Linked DNA regions of Macaca mulatta. The main gene of each other region encodes a partner of the protein of the gene in region 2 in a complex. Links are inferred from orthologs where the notes say so. Each region holds a gene or a part of one and is shown on either strand. Other genes may lie near its edges.

Region 1 (3,569 bases), on a different chromosome or scaffold from region 2:
GAAAAATGCAACAAAAACCATAGCCTAATGAAACATTAATGAGACAACCATGCTGCAAAAAAAATCAGGGGAACTTAGGGAAATATAGATATTAATGATCATAGTTATTCAGGGTACAAAGTGGTCAGTTGACTTAAAAGGATTAAAAGGCTGGGAATATTTTGAAAATTCAACCCCAGGCATCTGGTGCAATGTCTACAGAGCCTTGCTATTCATAGCATGGTCCGCAGGCCATCAGCATCCCCTGGGCGTTGGTCAAATGGGCAGGCGAATCTTGGGCCCTGCACCAGACCTGCTGATTCAGGTCTGCCTTGTGCCCAGGTGACTCACCTGCACTGCACTGCACTACAGGCCCTGGTCACTCTAGGTCTGGTTGTGAGCAATGAAGACTAGAGGCACTGGGGTCAGACTACCCCAGTGGGATCCTCCACTCCACCATTCAAGCTGTGTGGCTTTGTGTAAAGGACCTAACCCCTCTGGCCTTTGGTTTCCTAATCAGTAAATGAGAAGGTAATATTAATACTTTCTTCCAGGCCAGCTTCTCCATTAGGCACAGTGCTAGAGGCTCTCCATACTCTTAGGGGCCACATAGATGCACTCCCATTTGTTTTAAACTTTAAAAGTCTTAAACATTGAAAATTCAGATGAAAAGAAAGAACTTTTAGTGTCAAAGAAAATAGTTTCATTTTTTAAATCACATCTGAAAAAGAATAATCATTTTAAGGCCTATGTAAATCTATTATGTTATGCCTACAACAACAAAAAATTAAATGGTGAAGTATTAAGTCATATCAGAATAAGTTTTATTATTGATATTATTTTGGTAGGAGGAGTCCTCAGCCCATACACAGAAGTGGCACTGAAACCCTACCTTCCTTGCCTGGTGACACATGGTACGTAATGGTCTCAGCACCCAGCATCCACGGGCGTTAGCTCCTAGTTCATTCTGAGTGATCCTACAGCAGAGGCCTCAGCGTCTGCCACCACCTGGTTGGTACATCACTAATATGGTGTTACCTTGATAACATTTAATATCCCTTCGTTGGTCTCAGGGTCAGTCAAAATGTCAAAATGTCCTTCTTCGTTGCCATGCAATATGTTGAAATTTGCTCTCCAAGCTGATGTAAATGGAGAATCTCGATCTTGAACCAGGAGACGCACCACGCCCTTGCTGACTCGGCCTTCAGGAATCTGAATCTTATACTGAAAGAGGCAATCACCATGTGCATGTCATGGAGACAAAAACATAATTGAAAAGGCAAGCAGAGAGGAAGAAGGGAGAGACGCAGAGAGCGAGCGAGAGAGAGAAGGAGAAAGAAAATTTCCTCATCACAACGTCCTGGATATTCCTCATGCTGCTGAACCTGCACAATACCCTGGATATTCCTCATGCTGCTAAACCTGCCCTAATGGATTTGCAACCTGCCTGTTATAGCAGAAAGTGCATCTGTTGGAATATCTGCCCCTCCTACCTGTGACTTGCTAAATAATTTTTAAAGTACTCTTAAATCCAACTCAATGCCCTATTTTTTCTAAGAATTTTAAAAATAACAATACGCAATCCTAGTTTATGCTCTCTAAAAATCCTAGCTCTTCCCCTAAAATAGGACACTTGCGGTTATTCAGATTAATGTGATCATTTTTCTAACACATGTAGATCTTCGAAATAGCTTGTTATTCAATATTTTTGGAGACAATGTTTCTAGACAAGCACTTCAAAATAACACGGTATATTTTTTTCCAGCGTATTTTTAGAGCATTGGTTTTTACCAAGTCAGGAAAAGATTTTGAAACAAGGTTCAAGCATAATATTATTTTGTAGTTATTATATACTTCTGGTGAGGTGCTTTGGTTTGCAAGCATTTCACTTTGGTTTATACAGGTTTTTTTTTCTAATTAAATGACACCTTTTAAAAAATAATTGTTTGCATCATTTATTCAACAACAGCTTCTGTGTGCCACATTCCATTTCAGATGCTGTGAATAAGACGGGCAAAAATTCTGTCCTTGATGGAGCTGAGAGCTGAGTGTGTGTGTGTGTGTGTGTGTGTGTGTGTGTGTGTGTAGGAGGACTTATAAAATAAATAAAGCTAATTGATTAAGTAGAACACTACTAAGCAGAAGAAAGCACAAAAGGGCTAGAGTGTGTCCCAGGAAAGAAGTGGAAGGGTTTTAACTCAGTAGTCAAGAAAGGGCTCACTGAGAGAGTCAGGAGAAAGAAGGAAATATGGTGGATATTTACTTTTTTAAAAATACATATGGAATAGTAAAAAATAAAATATTGGAAATAGATCGTGAGTGATTCTTATTTTATCTCTTAGCCATCTCACATGCCTTAGGTGAAGCATCTATCCCAAATCATCTTACACAGTGGGTTTCAACACTTTCTTAGAGGCTGGGAGGCTTGCAGCCTGGGAAATCCCACGTGGACCCTGACATACAACGTTTTTAAAGGGTCACTGCAGTTACTTCTGTACTTGGATAAGGTAAGATGAGGAGGGTGAGGCCAAAGCCTACCTGCTCACCTTCTCTCTAGAATCCTGAACATGGTGTGAAAACCTTGGGTGCAGACTTCTTACCCAAAGGTGATTCTTCTCCCGAGGGACATTTGGCAATGTCTGGTGACACTTTTGGTTGTCACAGCTGAGGGGCGCTACTGACATCTACTGGGCAGAGGCCAGGGATGCTAGTGAATATCCCGCAGCACACAGAGTAGCCCCCACTCCAAATAATCATCTGGCCCAGTGTCAATTGGGCTGAGCATAGGAACCCCTGACTCCAAGTAAACAGGAATGCCCTGTCTTCCCCTAGAGCTCAGTTTTCCCATCTGTAAAACAGAAATCATGTCGTAGTTTCAATAATCAAAAATGAAAAAAATGCATGTAAAAGTTCTTAGCACAGTTTCTGGCATACAGCAGTCAAAAATGTAAGCTCATGTGACCATTATGAAGTGCTTCTATGTCAATATGATTTGGCTTCTTGATTCCAGCTTAAGTCACTTTGGAGAATTGCACATATCTTGGGTGACTCCCCGATATAGTTTGGAGATTTGTCCCCACCCAAATCTCATGTTGAAATGTGATCCCCAGTGTTGGAGGTGGGGCCTGGTGGGAAGTGTTTGGATCATGTGGGCAGATCCCTCGTAAATAGCTCTGGCCATCCCCTTGGTGATAAGGAAGCTCTGGCCCTGAGTTCACATGGGATCTGGTCATTTAAAAGCGTGCGGGCCCTCTTACCTCTCTCGTGCCTCATTCTCGCCCACCCACACCCTGTATCTTGCATGCTCTTGCTGTCACCAAGCGACATGCCTGCTCCCCCTTGTCCTTCCGCCATGATCATAGACTTCCTGAGGCCTTCCTAGAAGCTGGTCGGTGCCAGCACCAGGCTTCCTGTAAAGCCTATAGAACCATGAGCCAATTAAACCTCTTTTCTTTATAAATTACCCAGTCTCAGGTATGTCTTCACAGCAATATGATAACAGCCTAACACCCTCCCCAAGAAAAACTGAGCCTAGGGCCCAGGGGCTACTTGTTTTGGGGCTTAGACGTCGGGGCAGCCCCGGTGGCTCA
Region 2 (3,569 bases):
ATTGCTCAAGTTTAGCAAATGATAAGAAAGAAGCTGTTAAGTCTGAAATGCAGTTACTCACCCTTATCATCAGCACTGCTTTCCTGATGTCCCGGATACCATCATATACCAGGCGGGAGGCATCGATAAACTCATTCTCATCCATTGGCTGGGCAGGGTCCGAGCTGAGGGCTTCCACGGCCGCCTCTACTTGCTCAGTAAAACGTGGCATGACTGTGGAGAAAGGGGCACAGCAGATGTCCTGGTATGCAGGCAGCATCATTCCCCTGACCCTCCCTGAATCACTCAGCTAGACAGAAAGAGGTGAGGCTTATGATGAAGAGCCTCTGCTTCTATCTATGTGAGGAGTATTTATGGTTGAAATAAATGCAGTATTTTACAACAACTCAACAACTCAAATCATCTTTTTCTCTGCAACAGAGGGATTGGATGGTTGAGGGATTGGATGGTTGAGAACTTGGAAGTGAGACTAACTTGAAGCCTTGCTTAAGAATAGGACCTCAGGTTAATAGTTTAACCTGAGGTTAAACTCAGAAATTCATCTTAAATAGTGTGTTTAGAATTAGTCCCATGATTACTCATGAGATACACATGAAGAAAATATGCTTGTGAGGCCTGAATTTGGCTATGACCAACTTCTCAGGAGCCCAATGTGCCATGAGACCAAATCTGAGTTCCCGACTCCTCCTTCCTCACCACAGGGCTGGGCTAATCGGGTGGCCTGCCCTACTCAGGTTGCAGTGTGTGCGAGCACTGAAAAGCTAGAGTTCCCGTACCTGTGTTGGAGAGAAGCTTAGTGGCTTCCAGAACCTTCTCTGTGTAGACTCCAGGCTCATAGTTGTCCATCTCTGAGGTGACTACGTGAATGACCCGGGCTGCCCGGCCTCGAATTGCACCAGCTGTGCGGTCCAGGCCATCCACATCCTTCTCCTGGAGAGCAATGACACATTTGTTCACATCTTCCAAAATGTGATTCTCTGGAGAACAAGCAAAAAGCTGAATGAGGAAGGAGGCCTTCTATGAGAAGGTGGCAACTGTAAGCTGGCATCTATCATTTATTGTTTGCTTGGTGCCAGCCACAGTGCTGAAAGCTTTACATATATTTCATTGGAGAGACCAGTGACTAGTGACAGAGACAGAAACTAAACCTGTTATCACCCTCAAGAATAACAATCTTCATTCCAGGCTTTAAAAATAAAACAAAATAAAACAAAAAACAGGAGACATGCCCATCTTTGAGACACAGTTGTTCTGTAAGCCTGGCAGAAAATCACAGAAGCATCAATAACTTCTCTTCCTCTAGCTTCACTGACCCTGTGTCCCAAATAAAGGAAAGGCTAAATTAGAACAAAAGTCCACTGTCCGCTCTCCCTCTCCCTCCAGGAGATGCTGATGATATTCAGACAATCTACCAAGAAGCCAGTACAGCCCAGGGATAGGAGAAGGTGCTGGAAAGCAGGTTGAAGCCTTCTCTAGAGGAGCCTGAGGCATGAGATGAACTATTTAATAACCCTCTTCATGGTACACAGATGGGCTTATTGTGATATTTGAAGGGTCCCTAGAGGTGAAAACCCCTGACTCCTATGAAGCTGATGGGTGGCTCCTAACAGTCACACAGCTGAATTTGGGCAAAACACCACAACTATTTTTCCTCAAAGGAAAAAGCCTGACACTATACATTTTTAGGAACCCCACCACAAAGAGTTTGCTCAAACTCATCTATAATAACAACGTGGAAGCAAACCAAGAGAAGAGTGGATAAGTGAATTATGGGAACTATGCAGCCATTAAAGTGCATATCTGGAGGCTGAGGCAGGAGGATGGCTTGAACCCAGGAGGCAGAGGTTGCAGTAAGCCGAGATTACGCCGCTGCACTCCAGCCTGGGCAACAGAGTGAGACTCCGTCTCAAAAACAAAAACCAAAACAAACAAAAAATACCTTTCCAGAGAAGGCCAGGAAATAGTAAGAATTCTTATTAGAGAAGGGAAAACTAGATTACTGCAATATAGTTAAGACCATATTTTGATCTCTATTAATTACAGATTATGAGACTTGCCAGGGTTTATACCAATGAACTAATGAAAGAGTAAACATATTAAACTTCTAACATAAACACATTTTAAGAGGGACATTTAAACCAATTACAAGAATAAACGGATTTGGAGCCCATCACAAGCATTTCTGAAGTATATAAACTCTAATAATTCAAACTAAAAAATGTACTGAGCAGGCCAACCATACAAGGTCTTGGGTTAAAAATTGTTGCTTTTACTGGATCTAACACGATACCATTAAGATGAAACTTGCATTGCTAAGGAAAAGAAAGGAATAAAATGGAAAGTGTGTTGATAACAAAACTAAGAACCAATATTTTCTCATATCATTGATTTTAAGACTCATCCCTGTTTCAGAATCAATGAAGTATGGCATTCCTTCCCGTTCATTAAACAAAGTGACCCAAACTTCTACCAAGGATTTTTTAACCTTTGTCTAGATACATCTATTTTTTTTTTTTTTTTAAATCCATCTAGACTTTCTTGAATTCATCCTGGCCTTCTTCTAGATGAACCTAAACCAGGAAAGGGTACGCCATTTTTTAGAGTAACATTCCCCACTTCAGGAAGCTGAACAAAGTAATATTCTCTACCCTCATGAAACACTTGTCTCTAGGAAAGCCCCAGCCTCGCTGAGGCTGCCGCCCAGGACAGAGCACCCAGCCTCCTCTCCACAACTGAACCTGATGCGGGGAGGTGCGAGTCCACTGTTTAACGGAGGGGGACAGGCTGTGCCCACACTAACTGAAACCATAAATCATTTTAGCTAAGGAAACAGCATAGGTCCACTATGAGTAGATACACAAATCTGTACCCATGAACAGCTGTCCAACACATGATTTATAGGTGTGCTTCTAATAGAAAAAAATCATACACACACACACACCAGTCCATATAAAATATGGACAACTATATGTAAATGAATATAAAAGGAATTATATTATGGACACTATTGTATCTTTTTCACTTGAAAACCTTTCTAGGTATGGCCCTACAGATCTACCTCATCCATTTTAATGGCTGCATAGTACCCTACTGAAGAGATGGAGGGGCTATAATTCACTTATTCAATCTTCCCTTAGACATTCTGGTTGAAGAAAACATCCCTCTACAGGTATTTTGGCAAACATTTGCGACACTCCCCTAGAGAAAATGTCTAGCAATGAGATCGCTGAGTTAAAAGGTATATATGTTTAAAGTAGAAGTATGGTACCTAATTGCCCTCCAGGAACGATGCCGATTGGCATTCTCCATAAGAGATGTCAGAACTTCAGTCTACAATGTGTAGCGATAGAGCCTCTTCTTTGTACCCTCTGCCCTGGGTATCTTTATAGCAAGCAGCGTATGCAGGGCTGCTGCACACAAAGAAAATGAAAACGATGTTTCATACTTTATGTAGAGGATTTACCCTGTGACATGAACTATTCTGAGGGCTTGCCATGTAAACTCTATGTAGTAGGCTTAAAAAGGAAAAAAAAAAATCACCGGCCAGGTGATTTCTGATTACATGGTGG

The links.
Region 1: CTNNA1 (region 2) and CDH26 share a complex: the UniProt entries of both Homo sapiens proteins name them as parts of the cadherin:catenin adhesion complex. The link is inferred for Macaca mulatta from reciprocal best matches to the Homo sapiens genes CTNNA1 and CDH26.

The regions. Positions count from the first base shown.
Region 1 is NC_133415.1:112,774,678-112,778,246, reverse strand, and holds part of CDH26 (cadherin-like protein 26), read right to left. Parts: intron 1,204-3,569; coding exon 1,018-1,203; intron 1-1,017. UniProt on the Homo sapiens protein: Cadherins are calcium-dependent cell adhesion proteins. They preferentially interact with themselves in a homophilic manner in connecting cells; cadherins may thus contribute to the sorting of heterogeneous cell types.
Region 2 is NC_133411.1:147,788,458-147,792,026, reverse strand, and holds part of CTNNA1 (catenin alpha-1), read right to left. Parts: intron 978-3,569; coding exon 777-977; intron 214-776; coding exon 62-213; intron 1-61. UniProt on the Homo sapiens protein: Associates with the cytoplasmic domain of a variety of cadherins. The association of catenins to cadherins produces a complex which is linked to the actin filament network, and which seems to be of primary importance for cadherins cell-adhesion properties.